4 linked regions of the Notamacropus eugenii genome follow. The protein of the gene in region 4 interacts with the protein of the main gene of each other region in a pairwise test. Links are inferred from orthologs where the notes say so. Each region holds a gene or a part of one and is shown on either strand. Other genes may lie near its edges.

The links.
Region 1: the proteins of phospholipid scramblase 2-like (region 4) and ANXA11 interact in a two-hybrid assay, tested with the Homo sapiens proteins (2 studies listed by BioGRID and IntAct). The two-hybrid records come from large-scale screens. The link is inferred for Notamacropus eugenii from reciprocal best matches to the Homo sapiens genes PLSCR1 and ANXA11.
Region 2: the proteins of phospholipid scramblase 2-like (region 4) and CRY1 interact in a two-hybrid assay, tested with the Homo sapiens proteins (2 studies listed by BioGRID and IntAct). The link is inferred for Notamacropus eugenii from reciprocal best matches to the Homo sapiens genes PLSCR1 and CRY1.
Region 3: the proteins of phospholipid scramblase 2-like (region 4) and RGS3 interact in binary tests that used the Homo sapiens proteins (3 or more experiments, as listed by UniProt). The two-hybrid records come from large-scale screens. The link is inferred for Notamacropus eugenii from reciprocal best matches to the Homo sapiens genes PLSCR1 and RGS3.

The regions. Positions count from the first base shown.
Region 1 is NC_092872.1:229,641,769-229,649,375, reverse strand, and holds the start of ANXA11 (annexin A11), read left to right. Parts: upstream 1-4,584; 5' UTR 4,585-4,897; intron 4,898-4,954; exon of another isoform or gene 4,955-5,037; intron 5,038-5,235; exon of another isoform or gene 5,236-5,991; intron 5,992-7,607. UniProt on the Homo sapiens protein: Binds specifically to calcyclin in a calcium-dependent manner. Required for midbody formation and completion of the terminal phase of cytokinesis.
Region 2 is NC_092874.1:289,311,780-289,319,315, forward strand, and holds the start of CRY1 (cryptochrome-1), read right to left. Parts: upstream 3,021-7,536; 5' UTR 2,464-3,020; coding exon 2,306-2,463; intron 1-2,305.
Region 3 is NC_092872.1:478,293,563-478,300,792, forward strand, and holds the start of RGS3 (regulator of G-protein signaling 3), read right to left. Parts: upstream 3,030-7,230; coding exon 2,857-3,029; intron 2,070-2,856; coding exon 2,018-2,069; intron 1-2,017. UniProt on the Homo sapiens protein: Down-regulates signaling from heterotrimeric G-proteins by increasing the GTPase activity of the alpha subunits, thereby driving them into their inactive GDP-bound form.
Region 4 is NC_092877.1:335,160,438-335,167,751, forward strand, and holds the start of phospholipid scramblase 2-like, read right to left. Parts: upstream 3,005-7,314; 5' UTR 2,923-3,004; exon of another isoform or gene 2,919-2,922; intron 391-2,918; 5' UTR 284-390; coding exon 221-283; intron 1-220. UniProt on the Homo sapiens protein: Catalyzes calcium-induced ATP-independent rapid bidirectional and non-specific movement of phospholipids (lipid scrambling or lipid flip-flop) between the inner and outer leaflet of the plasma membrane resulting in collapse of the phospholipid asymmetry which leads to phosphatidylserine externalization on the cell surface.

The sequences.
Region 1 (7,607 bases), on a different chromosome or scaffold from region 4:
GGATTACTCTTGTCCAAGCTGCTCATTTTACAAATGAAAAAACTGCGGCCCCAAAAGGGGGGATGACTTGGGCAGCATCCCAGAGAGGCCAGTTCCCATCTTCTTTTCTTTCCCCAGTATTCTTGGGTACTTTGCTTCATTCCTTCCTTAGGTTCCAAGGGCTGAAAGCAATGATTCCCCCAGGCTGCTTCCCATGCCTCTTCTTTATTCATTTTTTCCTCCTTCCCAAATTACATATCGTTGTTTGTCTTTCATTCTCAAAGATGATCATGACATCAGGGAGGTGATGCCATGACAGGTGAGTGATTTGGATTTCAGTGATTTAAGTGAGGGCTGTACAAAGTCACCAGTCTCACTTTCTCCTCCAGAGCCATCTGGAGCCAGTGACCAGATATACATCAGGACTGGAGATGATCCAGAGTGCAGTGGGGATTTTTCAAGATAAGGTCTATAACAGGTCTATTTGACTGAGGCAACACCCATTCAGTGATTGAGGCTTAAGAAATGAAGCAGAGAATATCTTCTTCATCTAGTTTAAAAAAAAAAATCAGTCTGGGAGGGGAGGATCCTCAGGATTTCTGGCCAAAAGAGAAACAACTGCTATTTACATTCCTTACCCTTACCCTGAATGACTCAGGAAGCAGATTCAGCATAATCCTGTGAATCAGCTCCAGAGACACTGGGTTCGAGAAACAATTTGAAGGTTGTAGGTGGAGCCTCTACACCGGGGGTCAATAGAATTCCAAGGAGTGCATGTACTCTGATGAGGAAAAAATTCTTTGTTTTTTCCAAAATAATTGTTCTTTGTTGCAACCCTATATATTTTATATATTTAAGAATATTGTCCTTTCTGAAAGGGTGTCCCTAAGCTTTATTCAACTACCAAAAGTGTCCATGAGACGAATAAGGTTAAGAACCCCTGCTCCAAACCCATTACAAGTGCTGATATGGGTGGGAAATACATCTCTGGATGTTGAGGGTGAAAGGACATCAGACTATGGAGTTGCCAAGACCCACCCAATACTGGGAATTGAGTCTTATTTGGAAGCTGTCCTTAAAAAACAAATTGTACCTAAGAGAAGTTTGCCATTTCATACGTAAGTCCTTTTCATGTTCTTTTTGTATGTTAGAATGTTTCGGCTTAAAGATGTTTGTCAAGTCATAGTGAAAAAGGAAAAAAAATGTTTTGTGGAAATTCTGTTTCTCATCCTAGCTCTTGTGTGATGTTGGAAGTATGATAAGGTCTCAGAAAAGGGGAAGCAAGCTGACAAAACAGACAGATCCAGGGCCTACTGTCTGAACATCTGGGTTCAATTCTGTCCTCATATGCTTACTAGCTGTGTGACCCTGGGCAAGTCACTTTACCTCTATTTACCTCAGTTTCCTCTTCTATAAAATGAGGATACCATCTACCTCACAAAGTCCTTATGAGGATCAAATGAGATAATCTTCGTAAAAAAGTGCTTAGCATGGTTAGTCCTGCATAAATGTTAGCTACTAGATGGCACAGTGGATTGAAATGCTGGGCCTAACATCAGGAAAACATTTTCCTGAGTTCAGATTCAGCCTCAGATACTTATTAGCTGTGTGACCCCTAAACAAGTCATTTAATTCCGTTAGTTTTGGTTTACTCATGTGCAAAATGAACTGGAGAAGGAAATGGCAAACCACTCCAGTATCTTTACCAAGAAAACTCCAAATGGAGTCACAAAGGGTCGGACAGAACTGAAACAATCTTTCCAAGCCATACTGAAGTTTCTTTCATAGAGTTTGTAATACAGAGTTGGTTGTGGGGAAAAAGACAGATTGGATTCATTTGATGGTGTCTGAGGAGAGATATGGAGATAGATGTCAAAGGATGCTTCAAGGGTCAGACCTACAAAAGAGGATGGAGATCATCACCTGGAAAGCAGAAACCTGGTGACTCAGGAAATAGGAACATTGCCATCTGCTAGGAGCTGAAGGAAACTGCCAGCAGATTGACAATTGAAGAGACTTCCAGAACCATGAAAAGAGACCTCAGTTCAGAAGCATTCTGCAAAGTCCAACTAAATAGAATACCTGAGCATGATTGTAAATGATGGTTGTCTGTAGGTGGGTATTGTAACTGCCACTGAGCTCTGTGTGACCCTTATTTGACATCCTTCAACCTATAAATAATCTAGTTAATTTCTTGAACCTTATAAAGGGAATTGGTGACAAGAGATGGTGGGTGAATATCTCAGACTCTGAAAGCAATAAGGCAGAGAAGTGAGAAGTCCCCTTAAGTGTATCCAGGTCCATAAGGATGTTTAAGAGCCTCTAACCTAAAACTTATCAAAATGATCATGCTTTATTACTTTTTCACTGTTCTCCAATCTGAATTCTTCTCTTCTAGTTCATCTAGTCCAGTGGTATCAAACTCATCTAGAATCAGAGACCACTAAACCATACATAAGGATTCCTGTGGGCTATATATTAACTTAGAAAACCACATATGAACATTATCTATGCTCTATTGTATTTTTATTTATTTTATTAAATATTAGTTACATTTTAATCTGGTTTGGCAACATTCGGTAGCTCCGTGGACCTGACATGTGGACAGAATATTTAAGACTTCTGATCTAGTTTGCAGAGGTATAAGAGATGAAATATTGAGCCCAGTTTGGCTGAAACACAGAATGGGTGAAATAAGACTTGAGGTGATTGGAGGCAGCTGATGAGTCGACAGTCAACCTTTTATTAAGTGCCTACTCTGTGCCTTTTATGAATAACCTTTTAAGTACATACTATATGCCTTTTAACAACCTTTTATTAAGTGCCTACTATGTGCCAAGCATTCTTGGGCAAGATCTTAAATGCCATGCTAAGGAGACTATATCTTATCCTAAAGTTAATAGGAAGCCACAGAAAGGTTTTTTGAGCCAAGGTGTAACTCAATAAAATCTGTCTTTTGCTAACATTATTTTGGCAACTGTGTAGAGAGTTTGGAAAAAGGAGAACTAGAGGTAGGGAGATCAGTTAGGAATCTCTGGCAGTGGTCTGGTTGAGATGTCATGAGGACCTCAGTAAGAATGGTGGTCATATGAATGGAAGGGGAGATGATGGGCAGTGTGGAGATGGAGTGACAAGATTTGAAACTTAGATAATAGGGGAGAGTCAGGTAGAGGGAAGTGTTGAGAATGACTTAAGGGCCCATCTTGTACCTTGTGATGGATTTATAAGTGCCAGGTCAATTGGCCTCTAAGCTTCCTAAAGACCCACACCATTTCATTTCTTTTCTTTCCTTTTGCCTAGCACAGGGTGGGTACCTAGCAGATGCTTGCCATTCTAAGTGAGTTGAAAATCTGTAGAAGACTCAGTTAATATTCTGCCCCCAAAATCTGAGGGCACAGCAATGTAATCTTACATAACCTTCAGCTATGAGTCATATCACATGTTGTTCTAGAAATAAGGTTCACATTTATGTAAGGAATTAGCATCTTTATCACTGACTGCCCCTAGCAAAATATTTTTCTTCTAGTATATCCCTCTGGACCCCAGGCTTACAGACTTTGGGTATGGTTGCTTTGGGATGGTTTCTTGAGAAGGGAGCCTCAGCTATCTGCTTGAGAATTTAAGCCTGGGACCTGCCTCTGGTTCTCCCTGTTTTTTATTCACTCATCTTCCAAAAATGCTGCCCAGCCCAGAAAGATTTGTCTTCAGGCTCTTTCCTCTCTCTGAGACTCTGGGAGTTGGGGGCAGCCAGAACAAGATGTTATTTTAAGGTCCTTCAAGAGCAAGGCTAAGCAGGAGAGATTGTGGAAGAGAAGGGAGCACAGTCTCTCTGCTTTACCAGGCCACCTCCCTGTGGTTTGGACGGTTGGCAGGGGTGGCTCCATTCCAAGAACACTAAGCTGCTTTTAACCCACACAAAGTCCCTACTGGAAGCTGGCTGGTGCCCTGGTTTGGGTACCAGGGCTAGCTTCACTAATAGGAACTAGATGTGATTTGAGTCAAAGACGTCTCCTCCCCTCCCCAACATCTTCTCCTTCCTTGACCTAGTTGTGAAGCATGGAATTCCAGAAACTCAAAACACTTTGGCCTTGAGCAGAGTCTTTAACATACAAATCTCTGTGGAGTAGGGGCACAAAGTAACCAAACACCCTAGGTTACTCTACTATTTGGAGGGGGCTGAGGTCAAAAGGAGCAAATGGAAAAAGCAGGGGGAGGGGTGCACTGAAGATTGGGGGGACAGGGAGACCTAGACCTTGTCCTACACGTTTCCCTAAACCCTACGGAGAGTACAGAGGTGGCGGCGTGGTCAGCGATCTCTAGCCGTAGCCCCGTGGTCCGAGCCCCCTGGCCCGTGCTCTCAGCCCCCTGGCCCGTGCTGTCTTCCTCCCTAAGAGGACTAGGAAGACCTCGCCGAGATGAGGGAGGGGCTTCCTCTTTCTCTCCAGTGTTACTGTTTCCTTTTAGGGACACACTGTAGCCTCCGCCAAGTGTAACCCGTGGGACTGGAGGAAAGTCATTTCCCCACGTTGGGCCTCGATTTCCTCATCTGTAAAACCCAGGGGGGTGCCTTTGGGGGTCACGTCCACTCCGGATCCGGGCACCTTCTTTTTCTTTTCCGCCGCCGGACCTCTGGCCCACGCTGGGCTCGGGGACCTTGACGGCCACCTCCCTGCGGGTCTGGGGACCCCCGGCTAGGTTGGACTCTGGGCTAGGATGCGGGGCCGCCTGTTCCGCACTCCCCCCGGCCCCTCCCCGCTGTGTTTTCCGCCCTGTAGGGGCGGGGCGGGCTCCCGGTCCGGGCTCCTCCCTCCTCGGCCCCGCCCGGACCGGAGGACGGCCCGGGGGAGGGAGCCGAGGTTCGGGAGGAAGCCGGACGATCAGACCCAGACATCGGCTCCGGAGACGGCGGGGCTGAGAGGTGAGTGCGCGGGGCTGGGCAGGTGAGGGGCCCCGGCCCTCCTCTGCCCTTCCTCCTCCTCTTCCTCCCCCCCCCCCCCCCAGCCCCGGGAGACAGCTTGTGTGTGCGTTGGGGGAGTCTCTGCGCTCCCGTCAGCGGAGGTAGGCTGCCGCTGGGGTGGGGAGGCGGTAGCTCTCTGCCCCCAGCCCTTGCCGCTTCTGCCACCCCTGCCCAGGTACAGCCGTGCCCTGTGTCCACCGAGGCCAGGGCACGGTGGGGAGCAGGGTTCCCTATCCCCCTCCCCCAGGCCTCCTTCCCTCCCAGGTCCCTGGCCCTAAGCCGGAACTTCCTTCTTTCAAAAGGGCCGAGGGGCCCGGGGGCTCGATTTGCTCGGGCCGGGAGGAGAATCGCCGCCTCCGTGCCCGGTCTGCCGTGGCCCTTTCCCCGCCCGTGCCGGACGGACGCGCTCCTGCGCACCAGCCTGGGCACGGACTGCCCGCTCCCGGGACCCCCCGGCGGCCGGCCCTCGGGGTCCCCAGGCTGCCCGAGCGAGGTGCGCCCGGCCGGGTCTTACCACGGGCATCCTGGGCTGGCTCTCCGCTGGGGTGTTCAAGGTTAGACTCTTAAAGGCCAGCTCGTTACGAAAGCTTATTGGGCTTTGGTGATCGTGGCCACGGGCGGAAGGAATGGAAGGCACCCAGACTGGCTTTTGAGCCGTTTCCGCGGTGGTTTGGATGGAGAGTCTACACCTGCACCTACACTGTAGAGGAGGTAGTGGGACCGTCTTCCGCCTTTCCCACTCCCCCAGGCATTGGAGAGATGAATGATTGGGGCTGGGAGTTACGATTAGGGCCGGGGAGCAAAGTGAAAGCTCACCGAGACTAGAACTCGCGACCGTTGGCCAACCCCCTGGTGTGTTTCACCATCAAGTGAGCGGGAAAAGGCCATCCAGGAGAGATGGAGAGGCTTGCGTGGCCTTAGAGGTCAGGCGTGCTGGATTCAGTTGTCTTTGCCTTCCACCACAGTAAGGAGACAAGGTCCTGCTAAGTTTTGTGAGCTGGTAACGTTCGAGGCTTTACTTGCTGTGGACGTTTTAGGTTTGGGAAACATTTGAGGTACCATACTTTCTTTGTCTTAGCCCACCGTTAAATTGCCCCCTGTTTTCCCACCGGACCTTCCAATTTGAAGGAAAAAATAATTAAGATTATTCCTTGGGAGGGGGAGGGGGAGGGGAAGGGATTGTTGGTAGTGTGGTTGTCTATATGTCAGGGAGCCCCCCTGGAGAGTTAGTTATTCCAAGCAATTGGGAACAGCTCGGTTTGCTGAAAAAAAGAATTACTTAACACCTGTTAATAGGCTGCCAGCTGCTCAGTCCTAGCTGTAAGAAGGGGAAGAACCCGCGGTTCAAGATTTCTGGGAGCTCTGGTTTCTGTTGTTTACCCCTGGCCTCTTAACATTTATCTGTAAAATATCTTATAAAAAGAGAGAGCTTGAATTCTCTGGGCAAATATCAATAGCTAGAGGGGAGAAGGTAGGTCTCTACAAAGTTCCTTCTTGGCCATGTGGATAGAGGAGAAAGAATTTAGCTGTTCGCCTTCCACCAAGGTAGGTGGTGACTAGCACTGGATGGGGAGAGGGAGGGCTAGAGTTTGGGAGACCAGAATTCAAATCCAGACTCAGACACTTAGTTGTGGGATCCTAGGCGAGTTACTTACCTTCTCTTTGCCTCAGTTTCCTCATCTGTAAAACGGGGATAATAAAAGCACCTACCCTATAGGCTTTTAGTGAGGATCAAGAGATCCTCATTTCAAAGCACTTAGCACAGGACTTGACGCAAGGTAAGCCATATGTAAGTGTTAGCTACTGTTATCATTATTCTCAAAGTCAAGGACTAAGGTAGATAATTACTGTTTATTGAACCAGATTACCCAGAGTTGAGTGCAAAGATGCTCAAAGGGCACCAGGAGCTTTGGTACTATTTTCAAAATGGCAGGGCAAGGGAGAAAGAGCTCCAGAGGTGCCCACTGTTGGGCAGGTTAAGTCACCAAGTATTTATTGGGCACTTACTCTCTGCTGGAAGGAAATAAAAAGAAAAGCAAAAATAAAGAATTGCCCGCCCTTGAAGAGCTTACATTATTTTTTTAAAATTTTAATTAATGTATTTTTAGTTTAGAACATTCAGTTCCACAAAAGCCTTTGAATTTTAAATTTTCTCCTCTTCCTTCTTTTACCCCCCTCCCCATGACCACATGCAATCTGATAGAAGAAAAGCTTACATTCTAATGGAAGAAAACATATGAAAAAGGAAGCTGAAAGGGAGGGCAAGAAGGAGAAGGCAAGAACTACCCATAGTGGGAGGATGGTGGAGAAAAGAAATCTAGAAAGTCTGGAGCTCATAATGGGACCCCGGACAGAAATCTTTGTGGGTCCTCTTCTGGTTTTGACCTTTGTGGTTTGGACTTACTTTGTATGCTTGAGTCCAGTGACACATTTTACCATCTACCATTTAACAGGCATTAACTACCTGACCAAATACATCAGCAGAAAGTCACTAGCCGGGCCCTGGTCTCAAGGCTTTTTAGAAGATCCCAAGGAGAATAAGATTTTTGCTTCAAGGTGCTTTCTATCTGGTGGGGTAGGAAAAACAGTCTGACATGGCAACTTTTGGGAGTGTATAAAATGAAGGGGTGACATTAGATCCCTCTCAGCTCCAAATTCGGTCTTATGACCA
Region 2 (7,536 bases), on a different chromosome or scaffold from region 4:
TCCCTCACACAATGACACTGATATGATTCTTCTGAGGATTCTCTAGTTGACGGTCTGGCCATTTTTAAGGGGTTTTCTTTTCCCTGGAGGAATAAATGCCTGTGCTATACTGGTCTGATGCCATTAGCACTGACTCAGTGCCAGGTGTGAGGCGAGCATTTGCTCTGAATCTCCTCTGCCATTTATCATCACCTGTCTGGGAATCCAGGGAAAAGGGCTGTTAAGGAAAGTTTCCCCATGAAGGGAGGGTAGGGCTAGAAGCTGATATTTCAGGGGGATGATGGGAAGGAAGGGAGAGCATCATTTCCTAGGTTTCTCCCATGTGATGGGCTGGGAGGATCTCTTTCTGAGGTGCCTATAAAGTCCAAGTGTGCTGGATCTTCTCAGCCACAAGGCGGAGTAAGGAAAAGCTGAGCCACAAGCCGGGCCCTGCTGCTGCTCCAACATCAGCCTCAAGGTGGAGAAGCCCCCAAATGCCCGTAGTCTTGGCTCTGGCACCAAAACAAAGAGTACACACAGAGACGCGCTGGCGGCCAGGGCTGTACTCAGGGAGAGCAGGAAGCCACAAGCTTGGGGTGGACTGGATTTGGGGAATACACAGAATGGAGCAGAGAGGCCAGGAGAACTCTGGTCGTTTTGGTTTAATTCTTAAGTAATAGCACTCCTTCCTTCCTGCTCTCAAACGCAGACTTGATTAGAAAGCCCAGGGCTGTGGCGTGTGCCTGGGAGATGGCAGGCATCAGGGCATTCAGGCTGAGGTCCCAGCTCTGGCCCCTCCTAGCCCCCTGACTCCATGCAACTTATCTGACACCTCTTTGCTTCAAGTCTCTCAGCTATAAAACGGGGCTAAAGAGGGCTGCAACAGGGGCCACTCAGCAAACTTCAGAGCTACCATTTTCTGATCCTGTAGAGAGAGGAGGGGATGTCTCATCCTGGTTCTGCTACTTTGGGGGGCTTCAGTGTCCTCTTCTATGAAATGAGAAGGGAGGTGGTTTCCAGGATCCTTGATAATAAGCACAGAGGAGGTCCCCATCTGCCCAGCAGCCCTCTGCTGCTCTATACTTAGAGTTTCAACACCACACAAGGATCAGACATACAGTTAGAAGGGCCAAGGGGGTCCAACACCTTCATTTTTATATTAGAGAAAAGGGAGGCCCATGGAGGTGAATCAGTGTCACAAGTGGGATCTGAAGTCCCAAGCCTGGCCTGTGCCTATACCAGAAATCACAGATCTCCCCCATCCCACCACAAATGCACTGACTTATGCATGGGGCACATTACCTACCCCCAACTCCAGCAGGGAAGTGAGCTCCTTGATGGCAGGGACTTGCTTTGGAGCCAGAAGAGGTCTGGCTCTCGCTACCAGTGTGCCCTTGGCCAAGTCACTGAATGAGAAGGGGGCTCACTTTGCTCTCTGTAGGTAGGGACCTCTAACCCTTCCAAACTGTCCCTCCCCCCCAAACCCACAGACCAGCTCTTTCAGTGCTTAGTCCTCCCCCACTGCAGGCACCTAAGAAGAGCTGGGATCATTTATACAGGGCTCTCAAGTTTGCAAAAGGCTGTACATACATCATAGTCACCTCTCCAGACCCCTCATAAAATGTTTGGTCCCTGAGGGATCACAGAGTCACATATCCAGAGATCAGAGGCTCCTCCAAGCCCATGTAACCCAAATTGCTCATTTGACAGGCAGAGAAACTGAGGCTCGGAGGATGAGTTCTAGGGACAATAGGGTTCTTACAGCCCACCCAGTGCAACCCCCCCTTACAGGTACAGAGAAAGAAAACCGAGGCTCAGGTACAAGGACTTCAGGAGCCAATTTAGGCCAACGTCCTCCTTTTACAAATAAAGAAACTGAGGCTCAGAGATTCACATAAGGATGAAGAGGTGGCTGGCATCTCCAAACTTTACACAGAAAGAAACTGAGGCTCACAGAAAATTACAACATCCCATGCTGACTGACTGACCTGTGGCTCTAGAGCCCACCCCCTCCATTTCACGGAGGAAGAAATTGAGGCTCCGAGAAAATTACAGTATCCCACACTGATTGCCAATCAACATGATTGACGGGTGGCTCTGGGGTAAGGGCCTCGGAGTCCATCCTTCCCCCTTACAGAGGGGGAAACTGAGGCTCCGAGAAAATTACAGTATCCCATATAGATCATCGATCAATACGACCGACTCGTGGCTCTCACGGAGAGGGAAGCAGACGGTGACATCACACGTTGATCGACACGTGGCTCTGGGAGCCGGGCCCCCTCCCCACCCTCCTTCCCTCCCAGTCATTGTCCGAGCCCGGACTCACCTCCACCTGTTGATGCCCACGTTGGAGGAGCCCGCGAACCAGGGGTCCAGGATGTAGACGCAGCGCACGGTGTCGGCGCCCTCGATGCACTCCTTGAGCGCGGGGTTGTCGTGGAGCCGAAGCCCCTTCCGGAACCAGTGCACGGCGTTCACTCCCATCTCGCAGCCTGCCCGTCTCCCGGAGGGGCCTTAGAGAGCGGCGGGCGCTAGGACCCAGCGAAGCCCGCGGCCGCCCGGCCACATCGCGTCCCGGCGGACCGGTGGGGGGGAGCCTCGCGCCGACGCCCCGGGGGTCACGTGGCCGCGCCGGCCCGAGCCGGGGCCGACAGAGAAGGAGAAGAAGGGGAAGCTCAGGTTCTGGCGCCGGCCTTGGTCCGAGGCCGGATCCCGCTCCGGCCCGCCTGCTCTTGGGTTCCCGGAGTCAGTGCCAGCTCCGGCTCGGACTCTGGCTCCTCGCGCTGGGGCGGACGCGTCAGCAGCCCAGGCCCCGCCCCCGGACGCCCATTGGCTGAAGCCCCTGCCACGTGACCGCCAGCTCGTCACGTTTCTGAAGTGTGTTTACTACACCCGGCAACCGGCGGCAGGGAGGAGCCGGGGACCCATGGCGGCGCCTCGCGCTCCCGAAGCAGCCGCTCGGCCCCTGGCCGCCGCCGCAGGCTTTGCAGACGTGAGTCGTAGCTGACGGCGCTCCCCGTCCTTCGCTCTCACGGGTATCGATGGCGTCCCAGCCTCCCCCTTCCCCCCCACGGAGCCGGTGGCGACCTCTCCCCGTACCGCGTGAGCCAACACCCAAGCCCCGCCCCCGAGGGCCGCGATTGGCTGCTGACAGTCCGGGAGCCGGTGGAGTCCCGGATGAGCACGGGGCTGCGAGGAGCTCGGCGGCAGCCGCGCGCGCGCGCTCCCGGGGCGGCCCTGCACGCGCCCGGCGCGTGGTCCCGTGCTGAGCAGTGAGCCTGCGCAGCCGCTCCCGCCCTGCCCTTGCCCCTGCCCCAGCAGAGCGCTGGGCTAGGGGCTTACTGAAGTCTGGGCCTGACCCACCCTCTTCGTGCCCCGCCCCCTTCAAGGCGCCCTCAAGGGTCTTCAGGGGGCCCCAGAAGTTATCCCCAAGGTGACCAGAAAGTCCGGAGCGCAGGACACCGACTAGCCACGTGATCTGGGTCATCCTCTGCCTCAGTTTCCTCACCTGTAAAATGGGGCTAGTCAGCACCTATCTCCAAGCATTGTTATGGAGAGTCCAAGGAGATAGTGTTTGTAAAAAGCACTTACTCAGCCCAGTGCCCGGCACGTGGGAGGCTCTATCTAAATGCTAGGGGCCTCAGGGAGCCCCACTTCTCCAGAGGCACCCCCGGGTGACCCTCTCTTCCCAGACACTCCCGGGGGTCACTTTCATCAACGGCTGCGTGACTCCCCTTCTCCTACACCCCATCTCCAGGATCGGGGATACCCCTTCCCCACCCGCATCCATTTGTGACACCCCCGGGGGCTTCGCCCAGCTCGGCCCGCTTCCACTTGGGGTGCCAGACCTCTTTCTGACGGCCTCTCACGGTAGCCCCGAGTCGGACTCTGGGGGATGAACGTTCTCTGGAAACGAACCTGAGAAGCCTTACTTCCCCACCTCTCCCGCGACGGGGAGCCTGGCCACTTTTTCTTCTAACCCCTAGAAGCCCCCAGGCTGCCCTCGGTGGCTGCGAGCTCTTGTCAAACTCCCCAGCCGAAGGGCAAGCAGACCCTCCCCCTTGGCTGATGCCCTTCGGGGCCCTCCAACGCTTCTGCAGCCTCCCCTGGAGGCTCACATCTCCGGTCTGACTCATCAGGTCTGGAACCTCGTGGCCCTGAGATCTGCAGCCTTCCTGGTCCTCTCGCGTCTTTCGTAGGAATCTCTGAGTCTTTGATTCCACCCTCTGCCCTCATGGTTGAGGAATTAAGCATAAACGTTCCCCTCTGTCCCCTCCCATCAATACTCTCCTCTAGATTCCCATGATCAATATCTCCCCTCCATCCAAGGGATAGACCCACCCCCCCTTCACACCAAACTGTGCTCCCTCGATATCCGATCTTGGGATCTGAAATCCCAATCTCCCATCCTCCAGCATTGTCCACGTCTCACTCCTAAACCTGATTTTGGTCCTCACCAGCATCCTCTGATTTTCTGAGTCCTGACTCCCTTCCCCCAGTACATTATGCCTGCTCTTTGCTTGCCTTCATTGTCTCATCCCTATAGTTAACCAGTTCAACAAGGCTCCGTCATGTACCTTGAATCCCTGGTTCTTTTGTTTCGCTTACACTACGAAGACTCTCAATCCTGAGTCACTCCCATTGTCCTCTGCCATCCTTCAGAATGCCTCGAAGAGGAAGCCGTGTAATCATGCCGTCTGGGTCTGCTACAAAGTCATGTTCTCTACCCTCAAATAGATCCTCAAATAGTTCCAGAGCATAAACTCTGATACTCATGTCTCCATACCCTCAGATCATCCTAACTTCCTAAATCTCCCCCGTCTTCAGTTCTCATTTCTCCTCAAATCTGTACCTAAACACCTGTTTATATTTATACCTGTCTCCCTCCTTTACTCCTAGCTTGAAGGAAGTCCAACTTGTCCAAGTAAATGCCTTTTCTTATACTCTTGATTTTATACCTTATCATATCTTCCAGGAATTTGTCCCGCCCACCATTTTCATTCATTAATCTTCAAGCCTTCTTTCTATGGCCTTCCTTCATTTTCTCTTCTAACTCCCTCTGCCAAGAGATTGGCACACCCAGACACCACCAGGTAACCTTCCTATGAATCCCATCTGCATTTTCAGTATCACTTTTCCCATCTTATTTGGTTCTTGGATCCTGGGAATCCAGAGATCTGGAGTGGCTGGGAGACATTACAAATTTTTCTCTCCTTCCCCTTCCAGGCACCCACTCCCACCCTTCTACTCCTTGTATGATGTGGGCGCTGGCTCCATTGACATCAGTGGGGCAGCCATGTGCTACCTGTTCCCACTTCTCATTATTTCCCATAAAACTGTTATGAGGAGAGTATGACCACACAGAGAAGTGCTCCTACCCTTTACTTGCTTGAAATTTCCATTCATTCCCTTGAAGAACATTTAAGGTTTCTACCTTAAATGGGGCATGAAAGTCATGGAGTACTTCCTGGTTTGCCCAACCCACAGGGTGCCCAGAATTGGGAATCCAGGGGCAGCTTTTCCAGTCATGGTTGCTCTGATTGATCACTTGTAGACTATCCATGCACCTATAAAGAGGTGGACCTGGGGTTATTATTAGTGATCACTTCTAGACCCGCCATGCACCTGTAAAGAGGTAGACAGCCCCAACACTCTAACCTGGGGCTGTTATCTTCCCTGGCAGGTTCCATGATGACCTCTATGCAGGGGTCAGAATCCCTTGTTTTTCTCCTAAATTCCAGCCCTGTGACTCCAACCCATTACTGGATGCCTCCATCTGGACGGGCTGGAACCCAAAGCTGAAGACATCCAGTAGTTTTCACCACCTTTTCCCCAACTCACTTCCATATTTTCCCAGGATAGCATCCTCCTCCTCTTATTCCCTCGGTTCAAAACTTCAGTCATTCTAGACTCTTCCCCCTCCCCATCCGATAGAAAGGAAGCTCCTTGAGAACAGGGATCATTATTTTTATCTTTTCTTTGTTGTTTGTTTTTATTTAGTATCTTATTTTCTCCCAGTTACATGCAAAAACAAATTTTAACATTCATTTTTAAAACTTTGAGTTCCAGCTTCTCTCCCTTCCTCCCTTCCCACCCATCCCCACTGAGAAGGCAAGCAATTCCATATAGGTTCTACATGTGTAGTCATGCAAAACATTTCCATATTAGTCATGTTGTGAAAGAAAACTGATAAAAAAATTAAAAAAAAAAAAAGAAAGTAAAAAACCGTATGCTTCTGTCTGTATTCAGACTCTGTCAGTTCTTTCCCTGGGGATGAATAGCATTTTTTATCTTAAGTCCTTCAGAGTTGTCTCGGATCATTGTATCTCTGAGAATAGCTAAGTCATTCACAGCTGATTCATCTTACAATATTGCTGTTACTTTGTACACAGTACAAAGCACATGTCACTTTGAATCAGCTCATAAAAGTCTTTCCAGGTTTTTCTGAGAGCATCCTGCTCATCATTTCTTAAAGCCCAATAGTATTCCATCATAATCACATACCACAACTTGTTCAGTCATTCCCCAATTGATGAGCATCCCCTCCATTTCCAGTTCTTTGCCCCAACAAAGAACTGCTACAAATATTTTTGTACATATAGGTCCTTTTCCTTTTTTAAATCTCTTTGGGATACAGATTCAGTAGTGATATTGCTAGGTCAAAGGGTATTTATATCTCCCTGTACCTATTGCCAGATGTTACAGGTTAAACCCCTGATCCCTCACTGATCCAGTTTAGATGTCCGGATAGAACAACTATAATACAAATAGCATTTATAGAGTACTTGGAGGTTTGTTAAGCACTTTACAAAAACAATCTTACTTTAGCTTCGCAACAACCCAGGAGTTAGGAGCTACTATCACCCCCATGTTGTAGATGACATTTTGCAGGCAGACATAGGCTAAGTGACTTGCCCAGGGTCATACCGCTAGTATGAGCCTGAAAATTCAATTCATGGAGTATTTATTCAGCACCTATTATATACAAGGTACTCTGCTAGTTATTGGGGATATAGAGAATATGGGGTGCAGGGACAGAATACACATACAGCCTTGATACAGATCAGAAAATCTGAGATGGGGAGGAAACATGAACAGCTTGTAGGGGCTCTTATTCTGGGGTCCAAGAACTTGTTTTTCAATGTAATATGTCTTTTGTAGTTTTTGCATTCAAAATCATTATTCTGAGAAGGCACCTATAGTCTTAACTGGAGTGCCTATGAAAAACCCCTAAAAAGTAGAGGAAAAGGGAGGCCCTGGGTGGAGGCTTGAAGGAAGCTGGGGAGGAGTGGCCACCACCTGTGACACTGGAAGGAGCTCCACATTCAAGTCACCTTGGATCACTGGGAGAAGGAACATAGTTGGAGGATGTGCCGTTCATGATGGGTAGGAAGCCAGAAGGATTTTCCTGGGCTTCTCCATTCATTTCCCTAGCCAGGAATTTCCAGGGAAGCTGGGCCTAGGATTTGAGACAGGGAACTCTGCAGGGGGTAGGGATATGGGTCCCTAGGGCAGTTACAGGAAGGGAGAAGTGGGAGGGGTTCCTAGGAGGTGGGG
Region 3 (7,230 bases), on a different chromosome or scaffold from region 4:
CTCAGCGAGCTCTAACTCCCCTGAGAGAACAACGGAAGGAGGAAGATCTTCAGGTGTTTGTTTCTGATGCTTATACTTCTAGGTAGAAACAAAAAGGCAGTATCTACAGCCTGGACCGAAGGAAGTATATTTCACCTCTGCACCCCACCCCAACACACACACACACACACACACACACACACACACACCTCATACCAGCAGCAACCTCAAATCTACACGTCTGTTTATTTGCTCTTTCCCCTAATCCCAAAGGAAGTTACACTGTTTATCTTGCTGGTCTTTAATCCCTAGTGCAAGAGAAACACAAACCTTTCTATTTCCCTGGGAAGAGCAACTCTTCACCTCACAGTCCTATTGCCTTTGGCAACCCCATCCCCAGGCAACTACCAAGAGATGACTCTTCAGGATCCCTAAAGGTCATTCTGATTCCAAACCAACATCCTGTCACCACTCAATTAAAAGAAACCAAAGGGTGTTTGTGCTCACCTGGCAGCAAGAAGCCTGCACAGCCCTGGAGAGACCTGTATATGGACAAAGTTCCTGAAGGTAGGTGGAACAGTGGACAGAGTGCCAGGCCTGGAGTCTGAAAGACCTAAATTCAAATCCAGCCTCAGATACTCACTATGTGTATGACCCTAGGCAAGTAACAATTCTGTTTGCCTCAGTTTTCTCATCTGTCAAATGGGCTAGAGAAGGAAATGATAAACCACTCCAATATCTTTGCCAAGAAAACTCCAAATGGGGTCATGAAGAGTCAGACACGACTGAAAAATGACTGAACAACAAGGGCAAGAGCTCCTGCTCTCAAAGGTTTTATAAGCTCCCTTTTGACCCCAGGTAAGATGGGCAATTAAGAGGAAAAACAGAAGCATAGGCCCAAAGCTGCCGGATAGCAGATCTGGCTCCAGGGCCTGGGCAGTCAGAGTCCCTCTGCTACTCCCCACCCCACTGCTCCTAACTAGGCATCCAACCTAGGCCAGTCTGACCCCAGAAATAACTATGGCTAGCCAGTTTTCCCCGAGGGGCAATGAAGCAGCAATTAAGGGATCTCTGAGGGACTTTTTATCTAGGGGCCCAGTACCAGATGGTTCTGTATTTCATAAATGAGGCAACAGAAGACCAGAGAGGGGTAGGAGACATTCCCACATCTACAGTAAGTAACTGAAGAGAAATCAAAACTTGAGATTCCTAATTCCTCATCTGTAGGAATTATTCTATAGTTATAAATATATATCATACATATCACATGTGTGATCTATATATGTGTGTGTGCATATATATATGTGTACTTATAGATATATAATTATTAATCCATTGGTCTGTAGCTATTATTTCTAGTCTAGGACTCCTACAACTGTTACCATTCTATAGAAATGTATCTAAATTATATGGGAATTACTACAAAATATTTTATCTTATCACCACACCCAACTTTAAGTCAAGATTCAAAAATATTTTTGTAATATAACTGTGGATCTGGAGGAAAAGAAATAGCTCCCATTGGGTTTTGTAATTTGAACACTTCCAATAGATGAACTTAGCAAACCTGAGACCAAGAAAAATAAATCCTACATTAAATACTAAGCTCAGAGAAGGGACAGAATTTTCAAAGGCTTTACCTCCTATAATGACTTTAGAGAGGCCAGGATAATAATCACTGACGAGGTAACCCTTATGTCACAGGCACTGCAAACACAAGGCTGCTAAGGGGTGCAGAAGATGTGCCTGGAATCAGGAAGACCTACATTCCAATCCTACCTCAGTAGCTATGTGACCCTGGGCAAGTCATTAACCTCTGTTTACTTTCATCCACTAGAGAAGAAACTCATTCCAGTATGTTTTCATATTTTCCAGTATATGGGGTCATGAAGAATCAGAAAGAACTGAATAACTAAAAAAAAAATCTTTCTGAATAATTAATGTCGAAGGCAACTAGTTGGCACAGTGAATAGAATGCCAGGGCCTGGAGACAGGAAGACTCATTTTCCTGAGTTTAAATCTGGCCTCAGACACTTACTAGCTGTGTGGCTCTGGGCAAGTCACTTAAATCTGCTGCCTCAGTTCCTCGTCTGCAAAATGAGAAGGAGAAGGCAATGGCAAACCACTCCAGTATCTCTCCCAAGAACACCCCAAACGAGATCAAAGAGATACAACTGAAAAATGATTCAACAACAATTGACAATAAGGATCCAGGTATACTTGAGACCTCTAAATTTCTTTAGTTCCTTTGCCCCCACCAAGGTAGAAAACAAAGGTGGTCACTCAAGTTCACAAGGCATCAAAAATAAAACCAATTTTACTTACACAGGAAAGGACATAGAACTCACACCCAGGTCCAGGAAGAAAGAACCCTTTCCTCCTCTGCAAAGTGATTCCTTTCCCCCATCCCAGAAATCTGTACAGTTGATAATCTCACAGCACTGCCTTGGATCAAGTTTCATTGAAGCAGAAGCTAAGGTTGTACCTCCTGCTGCTCACCCTGATACCTCCACTCTTGGCAGGCATCCAGCATTCTACCTTAGCATTGTCATTGCTTCCCTACACCCAACCAGCATTACAGTCGTCCTCATCAGTGGTGCTGGGCTCAGCCCTGCTTAATAAGCGAATTGGCTGAATTCCCAGCTGACAATTTCATACCTCTAGGGCCAGAATGATTTTTCAGCAACTGACTCATTTTGTTCTTTTATAGTAGATCCCACCAGCTTATAAACAAAGGCCTTCTTCCGATGCTTCTCATCTTACTCAATCAAGGCTCTGTTTCCCATTCCTCTACAAGTTAAGATTAATCTATCCCATTTATCTCCTACCTCCCCCAGTAGTCCAAGCAGTATGACCCCCTCCCACTTGTTTCAGTACCTCTCACTGAATCTTGTGGGGCGCAAAGTAATACAGTAGCTCCCTTTACATATTCCAGTCCACTCCTGTCTTCCTCCAGGAAAGCAGATCCAGACCATACAAGTTAACCCAGAGCTCTGGAAAAGAAAGCAGGGAGGTACTACCCTGCTCCTGAGAAGCTGGCAAAGATTCATCTGAATCTCATTTAAGACTGTATCCGATGGTAACAATTAGAAGGCAACTGAAAAATCTATGCAGGAGTTGGTAAGGATGTTGGTTAGGATGCAAGCAATGGGAATGGAAAAGAAGAGATAGATATAAAAACATTGAAAAGAAGATGGAAGATCTGATGTTTCACACTGAAAATATGTCAGCAATATTAGGTCATCTTTTAATGTCAATAATCCTGCAGAAAGATAGTATTTGGGATGGGAAACCAATATGATTAAGTTCATCAATATTTGCCTATTTCAGAATCAAACACTGAAAAAAAGCTCAACATGAATGAAAAATCAGTCTAATTCACTGTCACATAAAAACACTCTGGGCTCAAAGCCAGGTGTATCCTTGGACTGGCCTTTTTAGCACCCTAAATTTAACTAGCTGGGATTATTTTTAATATTTTACTCAACCTCTTAAATGAAGGACTTGCCTTTTAATAAGATATTGTCATTTCACTTAATGGTGTATGGAATACAGGTGTCCGTAGGTCAGTAATTCTTCACCGAAGCATTTATTTCTTGTTGCAAAGATGAGCCACATGAGCCTGAGAAACTTCAATATGCCAAACAGCATCAAGAAGACTTGATGACCTAAATCAGCATGCAGGGTCTGGGTAGGAAATAAAGTGGAAATACAGGTTTTTAACTTGGGAGATTTTGCTCAGAAATATCAAAGACCAAACTATATCAAAGAAGACCTTGGGCAATTCACTTCCTCTCTCTGGACCTCATTTTCTCTTAATGGTCACCTTCCACTTCTAACATTCTATAACCCCATGATTAAGAGCCAGCAAAGAAAATACATGTATTTTTTTAGAACACTTTAGGGAACTGCAGCAATGTTTGACTATCACTGCAAACTTTCGTGTGGGGCTATCCCCATACTTTATATCTTCTGGTGTCATTTATAGTACAAATATCAGTTCCTCCAGTAGCGTATTAACTCATTGGTTACTGAACAAAAATCTCATGTTTATTGTACCATTGGCTAAAGAAGTTTGTAAATGGTCTAAAAACTGTGATTCTTAGAACCCTCTGCTCTCTCTTCTGCTTCTGTCCTGCCACTATCACTGCCCAAGCAGAAGGGAGTTGTGCTGCTCTAAAGGCTCTGTTGTGTTTTATATCTTTTCTGGGTCACAATGACCAAAAAGCATATCACCTGGGAGCCAACCTTCTGGCAATAATAATAACATTCTAGCCATACTTAATCTCATCCTCAGTCAGGTTATAATCTACTATTAGAACCATACTTTAAACCTTTCTCAGTTTGATAGAACATGCCAAAGTATGTACATAGTGGCATGTATTTTGAGAACCCTAGGTCAACTCCATACTATAGGGAAACATCATAGTGGAGTTTTTGTGCGGGAAGTAGATATATACAGGTATATGTGTATACACACACACATACATTCTATATAAGAAAGTTGGACTACACAGATGAACCCGACCAAAAAACTATTAGAGAATTTCATTCTAAAAGGTGATGCAACTTTAAGGGCTTTTGAGGATCAATTTTCAAAACATCATAGATTCCAAAATACTTGGAAGAGCTGGTGCTATTGTCCCGCCCCCCAAAAAAAAGATGATCAAGAGCATTTCAACTACCAGCTACTATGCCTTCTTTTCTCATTTCTCTGAAATCCTCAACGGCAGTGGTCTGGGCATATTTTTGTGGTGAAAATGTAAGGAGCACAGGGGAAGAAAGACAGAAATGAGCCTTTACAACAGACTATATCTTCATAATCATAAAATGAGATACAAGGAAGACAGGAGATGCCATTGTGTCTGTTTGTTGGCTGCAAAATGGCATGACTCAGAAAAACAAAAGCCTTAAAAAACTTTTTTCTAACAAATTGTCTCCCATGTTATAAAATAACTTAATAGATACAACCATAAAGATAATCTACCAATCCTCCAAGGAGTCATACCAAGCAACATATAAAAAAAAGAGGACATATGTTTGCCAAAGGCATTTGCTAGTATCATGGAGGGTGTCACTGTATCCTATTCAAAGTCCAAATGGAAGAGAGATTCCCTGCATTGACAGTAAGGTGCTCTGGATTCTCAGTTTATGGATGACATCACATGGAGACCAAAGACACTACAAGATCACTTTGACGAGATTCACAGGGAAAAATTACAGAAGACTAGCTGGAAGAGCTCTCAGAAGCCTTCTAGGTCAACTCAAACCTGGACAGGAATCTCCTTCTCTATATGTCCAAGAAATGATTAACCAGCCTTTGCTTGAAAAATTTCTGTGGAGGGGGAGGAGCCAAGATGGCAGAGTAGAAAGACACACATATGTTAGCTCTGAACCCACAGCCCATAAAATATCTGTAAAGAAGAACTCCCAACAAATTCTGGAGCAGCAGAAGCCACAGAATGATGGAGCAGAGGAGATTTCTGTTCCAGAGAGCTCTGAAAACCTGACTCGAAAGGTCCATCACGCACCAGACCAGGAGCAGAGCCCAGCCCTGCCTTGGCTGCGTGGCACCAAGAGGAGCAGATCCCAGCAGGCTTCAGGGACAGAATCTACAGTGGCCGCGTGGGTCCCTCCACCCACAGACGCCGGGGGTGAGTGAGACTTTTTGGCTTGCCGAGAGGAGAGCAGGGTGTCTCCATAACTCAGGCCCCCTCGGGAGGCAGCAGCGGAGGTGGCAGCGGACCAGGGCTCCTTAAGCAGGCAGGAGCCCGGATCCATTGTTGAAGGTCTCCACATAAACCCCCTGAGGGAACTGAGCCCCAAGTGGTGGCTCTGCCCCCACCTGAGCACCTGAACTTAATCTCACACTGAATAGCAGCCCTGCCCCCACCCAAAGCCCTGAGGCTGGGAAGCAGCATTTGAATCTCAGACCCCAAGCGCTGGCTGGGAGGATCTGGAGGCATGGTGGGGGTGGAAAGAAAACTCAGAAGTCAAGTCATTGGCTGGGAAAATGCCCAGAAAAGGGAAAAAAAATAAGACTATAGAAGGTTATTTTCTTGGTGAACAGATATCTCCTCCCTTCCTTTCTGATGAGGAAGAACAATGCTTACCATCAGGGAAAGACACAGAAGTCAAGGCTTCTGTATCCCAAACATCCAGCATAAATATATCATGGGCTCAGGCCATGGAAGAGCTCAAAAAGGATTTTGAAAATCAAGTTAGAGAGGTGGAGGAAAAACTGGGAAGAGAAATGAGAGAGATGCAAGAAAAGCATGAAAAGCAGCTCCACACCTTGCTAAAGGAGACCCAAAAAAATGCTGAAGAAAATAACACCTTGAAAAATAGGCTAACGCAATTGGCAAAAGACGTTCAAAAAGCCAATGAGGAGAAGAATGCTTTAAAAAGCAGAATTAGCCAAATGGAAAAGGAGGTTCAAAAGCTCACTGAAGAAAATAGTTCTTTCAAAATTAGAATGGAACAGATGGAGGCTAATGACTTTGTGAGAAACCAAGAAATCAAAAAGCAAAACCAAAAGAATGAAAAAATGGAAGATAATGTGAAATATCTCATTGGAAAAACAACTGACCTGGAAAATAGATCCAGAAGAGATAATTTAAAAATTATGGGACTACCTGAAAGCCATGATCAGAAAAAGAGCCTAGACATCATCTTTCGTGAAATTATCAAGGAAAACTGCCCTGAGATTCTAGAACCAGAGGGCAAAATAGGTATTCAAGGAATCCACCGATCACCGCCTAAAAGAGATACAAAAAGAGAAACTCCTAGGAACATTGTGGCCAAATTCCAGAGTTCCCTGATCAAGGAGAAAATATTGCAAGCAGCTAGAAAGAAACAATTCAAGTATTGTGGAAATACAATCAGGATAACACAAGATCTAGCAGCTTCTACATTAAGGGATTGAAGGGCATGGAATATGATATTCCAGAAATCAAAGGAACTAGGACTAAAACCAAGAATCACCTACCCAGCAAAACCGAGTATAATACTTCAGGGGAAAAAATGGTCTTTCAACGAAATTGGGGACTTTCAAGCATTCTTGATGAAAAGACCAGAGCTGAAAAGAAAATTTGACTTTCAAACATGAGAATGAAGAGAAGCATGAAAAGGTAAACAGCAAAGAGAAGTCACAAGGGACTTACTAAAGTTGAACTGTTTACATTCCTACATGGAAAGAAAATATTTGTAACTCTTGAAACTTTTCAGTATCTAGGTAGTGGGTGGGATTAC
Region 4 (7,314 bases):
GCCAGAGCTCTTTACAGCATACCAGGCTACCTCTCTGATAATAGGGTAACACGATAAGAGTGTGATCCAAAGAAAAGAGCAATGTCTCTACAGTCAGAGGACATGAGTTCAAATCCAACATTTGACATTTAAGACCTGTGTTAGCTTGGGCTAGTTACTTAGTTTCCCTTGTCCTCAGTCCCTTCATTTGTAAAATAAGGTGGTTGGATAAGACACTGACCTCTTCCAGAGCTGAAATGATGATTTTATAATCCTGAAATAAATTGTTGATGGAAAGAGACATGATCTGGGCTCTGTGAGTTCATTTTGGTTTCCAATGTGTCCTGAAATATTTTTATTTTGGTTTTGGTTGGTGCTTTATGCAAAGCAATTCTCTTCCACATCTGGAAACTGATTAAATATGGAAGTTCAGTGTATTAACCAATTTAAGTTTATTTTTATAAATGTATTAACCAATGAAGTATATTAACCAGTTATGTAAACTTATTAGCCAATGAAGAGAATAAATAATTTTCCTTTTTTCCTCTCTTCTAATCCTTAGTGGATATTTACTTTTTTTCCTTCTCAATAATCCTGAGAAAACCTAAATACTATTAGAGGGAACTTCTGCTATTAAGAAAACAAATTACCTGTGGATGCTTTTACTGACTGCTTCTGTCTGAGCAAGGCTCATTGAATGAATCATTGTTCTCTAAACAGCCCTGACAGAAACAAAACAAAATTCCCAAGACTACAGGAAAGGCTGTTCTTGGAAAAGGAGGATGAGTATACCAAGATTTCCAGGAATCATTAAAAAATAAATGAAAACATACGGACAATTGGACTATATTAACTCTGTACCAGCAGGGATTGTATACTATGCCATTTGAGAGAGTATTCCATACCATTCCACATTTCCCTAATAGCACATAAGAAGTTTTCAGTAAATAATTTTAGTTTTCCTTCCTTCTTTCTTTCCTTTTTTCCTCTTTCTTTCTTTCTTACTCTTTTTCTTTCCTTCCTTTTTGCCCCTTTCTTCTTAGTTCCTTCCTGACTTCCTTGGATGAGAAAATGGAATTGTTTGTTGTACGTCCAGATGACTTTTCCTTGGTCCTTATTCCAGGACTCTTAACTGGACAAAGTAGCACAAATTCAAGGGGAAGAGGCATCACACTTCTTCCATTCAGAATTAGTAGAGCAGTAAAGCCAATCCTTGTTCAGTCTCCTGGGTGAACTCCAGTTCTGAAATTCTCTACCTCTTTACCTCCATCTCCTAGTTTTCCACTAACTTCACTCAGCTAAAATCCCCCATTCTGAAGGAGTCCTTCCTGGTTCCTCCCCAGAGTTCTAGTGCCTTCCTCTCTAAGTTCCCCTTTGGCCTTTATTATATCTTCTGTATCTATTTGCATGGTGTTCTCTCTAGTACTTTATGAGATCCTTAGGACAGAAACTGTTTTTGTCTTTCTTTGCTTTGCTGTTAGCATAGAACCTTGATATAGTGACTGTTTTAATAAACTGTTGACTGACTGGAAGTTGGAGTGGCAGATTTTAGCTGTAGGTTAAGGAGAAAAAAGGTGGTATAGTGAAAGGAGTTTAGGGCCTGGAGTCAGGAAGACTCATCTTCCTGAGCTCAGATGGCCCTCAGACACTTACAAGCTGAGTGACCTTGGGCAAGTCACTAAACTCTGTATGCCTCCCTTTCCTCATCTGTAAAATGAGCTGGAGAAAGAAATGGCAGGCCACCCTAGTATCTTTGACAAGAAAAGTCTAAATGGGGTCATGAAGAGCTGGACATCGCTGCATAAGGACCAAGCTACAGCGACAAAAGAAAATACTGCACAACTTTCTCAGATGAGAGCTTGCAGTTGGCTGTCTCTGGGGGTTGGGAGGCCGTAAGCCCTCTGTCCTCTTTTTAATTAACCTCTGCATGCTCCAGGCTTCGGGAAGCATTTGTTAGGTATGCATGGAGGAGTTTATTTTTCCTGTGCGAGTTGGTTTACATATACTATGCTTTTCTTTCCTGCTCAGATATTTGATTAGGGATTGCACAATTTTGGAAAGACCAGCTCAGCTACTCCAGTAAGCAGCCAGCCAGCCAGCCGTTCATCCAGGCTTTTTGCTACAGGAGACTCACTATTTCTTTTTAACTTTCGGTCTCTTTTTTCTTGTTTCTGTTCCTTATTTTTCCAAGCACAATCGTTCTCATACTACTCTGGCATTCTTGCCTCCAAAGATAACCAGAACTCAAGACCGGCAACCTTCAGGTCACGTCCCACACCTACCACTTCCTACCCTCCTCTTGTCCCGCACTCCCTAAATCCATCCCCTCCCCCTGCACTCCAGACGTCCAGAGGGACAACTTCCCCTTCCCACCCTCAACCGAGCCCAGGAATCCCACAAGGATCTCTAATAAAGCCGAGCAGCAGACACACTCCACCCCCTCCCCTTGCTTCCCCTCTCCCTGAATTGAGGGGCTTCCGGCTCACTCCACTTCGAATCCGACCTGTAGACTCTCTCTCCCCCAACTGTCTCCCCTCTCTGTCTCCCCTCTCTGTCTCCCGTCTCTTTCTCTCTCTGTCTCTCTCTGTCTCTGTCTCTCTGTCTCTGTCTGTCTCTCTGTCTCTCTCTGTCTCTGTCTCTGTCTCTCTGTCTGTCTCTGTCTCTGTCTCTGTCTCTGTCTCTCTCTCTCTCTCTGTCTCTGTCTCTCTCTCTCTCTCATTCTCTCTCTCTCTCTCTCTCTCTCTCTCTCTCTCTCTCTCTCTCTCTCTCTCTCTCTCTCTCTCTCTCTCTCCTCCCTCCCTCCCTCCCTCCCTTCCTCCCTCTCTCCCTCTCTTTCTCTCTAAAACACTAACAGAAAACGAATGACAGCTAAAGACGTATTTCCCACTGAGTTCTCTTGTGTGGACCCAGATGCGGTGTTTCCACCCTCATACACTTACCTACCTGAATCTAATCTTCTGGCTTCACTCTTGAACTGTGATTAAATGTCCTCCACCGGCGGAAACAGAAAAAAAGAAAAGAAAAACGAACCAGGGAACTAGAAGCTGCTAACCAGCAGTCTCCGCCCTTGCAATACAATTGAACCACTAGGGAGACGTCCTTTTGAAAACATACTTTCATAAACCGTATCCCTTCCCTTTTGAGTGAGGCTGGTGACTGCACAGCCTTGCCTTACTCACCTTCCTGACGTCATTGGTCCTCTTCAAGAACGAGAGATGAACGACAGTTCCCTCTACTTTTCATTTCTTCCTTCTGTTTTTATGTTACATAAAATAATGTAGTTACCTCTATTCCTTTCCAAAGTCTAAGATAAAATTCAATGTTGAGACATCAATTGATGGTCATCGTGAAAAGAGGCACTCATGTATACGCTGCTTTCCTAACGGTACTGGAAACACCTTCTAATGGAGAGAAGAGGGAAGCTTGAATTTTTGCCTGTGAATTGGAGCGATTCATATCAATAGGAGGGAATGACACACGTGGGCAGGTTTTCTATAGACCTGGAATACTATTGAAGGAAACTGAGTTGGAGCTCTGATTCAAAGGAAGATAAACCATCATAGGAGGAAGGAGATGGAAAGGACCTAAAAGGGTCCACTCCTTCATTTTACAGATGAAGGAATTGAGCCTGAGAAGATGACTGCCTTGTCCAGATGCAGCTAGGTGCCTGAGGCTGGATTTCCTGACTCCAAGTCAGGAAGCATGGTGCTTCTTACATTTTGGCCAGGAGTTCATTCCCAGTACTCAAGCCTGCTTGGGCAAAGGCTTGAAGATAAGAAATAAAGGGACATTTGAAATGGATGTGTGATGGGATTAGTGAGAAGAGTGAAATCAGGATTAGTTAGAAAACCTTGAAGCTTTCCACTATCGTTTGTTGGTCACCTGCTATGTACCAAGGGCTGAACTTAGTACTCAAGATATAAAAGTCCTGAATTCATGGAGTTTACATACTTACTAGATCCTTTGATTGGATTGAATGACTTAGGGGATAGATAAGATATGATTAAAGTATTTTAGTGTTTTACTGTCCCTGTTGACATAAGTGGCAGTTCCAGTCAGTATTTTGTAATGAAAAAACTTCCATTGGAGAAACATTAAATTCTAGAGATTTTCAAATTTACTTTCTCTGCAACCCTTAAAACTCTTCACAACCTGGCTCCTTCCAACCTGTCCATTCTTCTCACATTTCACTTCCCTCCACAAACTCAGCAATTACTTCTCTGGGCTTCGTGCTGTTCTTGCCATCTGATTTCCCCTCTCTTGTCTCCATCTTGGTACTGGCTGTCTTCCAGACTTGGAATATACTCCCTCTTCACCTCCTCCACTTGGCCTCTGGCTTCCTTGAGAATTCAACTAAAATCCCACCTTCATCAGAAGACACTTTGCCCTTGCTCCCAGTTGCTAGGGCCTTCCCACTGAGATTATCTTCCATGTACTTAGTATATAATTTGCGTGGGCATAGCTATTTACACAGAGCTTCCCCTGTTAGGATGAGAGCTCCTTCAAGGCAGGAATCATTTTGTTTGTTTCATTCCCATTACCTGATACACGATTACCTGATTCATACATAAGCTTTTAATAAATGTTTGTTGCTATTATAATGGCTGACATGATATTTTGACATAATATTTTAAATTTATATATATATATATATATATATATATACACATATATGTGTGTGTATGTATGTGTGTGTATGAGTGATCTTCCTAGAGTTTCACAATCTTTATACTACATACAAGGGCCTTTTAATAAATGTGCAGATGACAGCTCAGAAAAGTAATGTGACTTGTTTGTGATCACGCAGCTAGTAAACCTCAAGGTTACAATATCAAATCAGGTCTTTCTCTTCCATACTCCAAGCTGAACCCTGCCATTTATTTTTGTCATGCCACCAAAGCCAGGAATTGCAAAGTGCTTTATGGACAAGGAATTTTTTGTTATGGAAATGCTTGTTTTATTCAATAAATTAAAATAAAATAAAAAGCATAAGACCTTAAAAAATAGAAGCAGTCGGACCTCTGATTTCATTCAAACTCCCCATGAGAGACCTCCTACCAATGCAGACTAGAGTTGCTTGAAACTGTCTTAGAAATTGCCTATGGTGACTAAACTATAAATAATGAAAGTCACTACATAATCCTACAACAATGTGCAGAAGATGAGAGCTCAGAAAGGGACAGGAAGCTGAGTTGAAAATTTTGGAAAAGTTAATATTTGCACCTAACAGTGCTTTCATTTTTCACCACCCAGTCCCTCCCCATGGATGTAAGCTTCCTTAGCAAAAAAGAAAAGCTGATAAGCAAAGTCTCCACTTTCCTTGACTGAGTGTGACAATTTTTACAACATTCTTACAGCACAGTGTCTTGACTTTGTAGACAGGAGGAAGCTCTGGGTTTATTTACTTAACCGAACCATTGTGGGGTATTCAAGTTACCCAGTGTTTGTTTCCTTTGGTGATCTTTTCATTTAAATAGTCAGTCTTTTTTACATCTCATTCTTCCATTTCTTCTTCTTTAACTCTAATTAAAGTTCATATTTATCATTTTGTTGTGTTTTCATGATGTATTGTAGCAAAAAGGTCTCAAAGAATTCAGTGTCAGATCACTTGTAAGCCAAGCATGGATTTTTATTGAGACTGATGATTCTTATGAAATGGGCTAAGTTCCAAGAGGACTCAGCAATTTTGGAGAAAGGAAAATGGATTTTTATAGGGTAAAGATGCAAATACGTAAACAGAAATTATGAATATTAAAAAGGTAGGAGGGGGTTTGTTAAGGTATTAGGTAATACCATAGGGGTTCCAACCACAGTGGAACTGGAAATGCAATTACCCACAATGCATATAGAAAAAACTCATTGAGGGGGCATATATCTTTGATCATGATATTATAATAAGACTCTCTACGACACAAGTACACCTGAAGGACAGCTTTTGTTATTACTGAGTAGGTGTCTACTTTAGGGGAAGTTCCTTCTATTGTTCTGTGGTCCACATCCTGCTTGGGCATTCTGGTGGTGCTGCTTTTTGATTGCCTGAATATTGGGACCGTGTCTGAGACCAGACAGGTGTGATTGTGGTTGAGTGCATGAACACACCTGCTGTTTCTCTGCGAAATATGAAGAATTGTTCTAAGGGCAGTGACTAGCTGGAAGCAGTGTCTCAGATCCCATCAAATGGACACACCTTCTGTTTCTGTGAGAAATATGAGTTCATGGATACACCTGTTGTACTAGTCAGCAGTGAGGCATATATAGGATATTGAAGTGGGGGTGGGGGAGGTTTGAGTGGCTAGGCAGGGTCAGTGGGCCTGCTGTTCAGTGAAGCTTATAAGAAAGTTAGAATATTGGGGCCAGGGGCAGTTTTATTAGGATTCTATCAACTTTTGCTACATAATAGTTTATTCATATGCGGCCATTCTCTGTCTCTCTCTCTCTCTTTTTCTCTCTGTCTCTCTCTGTCTTCCACATACACACACAGAATTTCTGATTTCATGTGCAACTTTTTAAACCTTATTCAATACCTTCTTTTATATAACATTTTTATACAACATTAGTTTCCCAATATTTACCTCCTTACAACCTAGTGTTTCATTTCTTAAAAAAAGATTTAGAAATATAATGAAGAAAAAAACAAAGGGAAAGTAATCATACTCATTAACTATGACTGATGGTATATGCAATATGCCAGACCTACATCCCTTTCTTTCTCTACACTGATAGAAGAAAGTACATTTTCTCAACTTTTCTTTTGTGGTCAAGTCCATACATTATAATTCCATGGCATTTGGTTTGGTTTTGTTATAATTTCCATCTATATAGTTATGGTCATGTTGTTTATTGAATCCCTGATTCTATATTAGTTTGTAAATGTTCTCATGCTTCTCTGACTTCTTCACTGTCCTTACTTCTCATGTGAGAATAATACTTCATTATATTCATACATTTAAATTTATTTAGCCACTCCCCAAACAATAAGAATATAAGCAAGTGTTGATCCTGTGTATTTTGAAGCTACTCTTTCAAAAAACACCAGTGACATTGTAATAATCAAGTCCAGCACTTTTTATTTTTATAATTTGCAGCCCCTTTACTGTCTTTGCAACTTTTGATGCACTTGACTTTTCCTTCCTATTGGGAACTTATCTCTTCAGAGACATCACACTTTATTGGTTCTCATCCTTTGTACCCCTTTAAACACCAATTCTCTGGCTAGTTTATTTGTTTTTCATCCTCTTTCCAGCCATTTAATCTAGGTGTTCCTCAAGAGTATATGGTAGGATTTTTTCTACTCTCCCTTTACATTCTTTCCTGATTAATCTCACATGCTCCCAT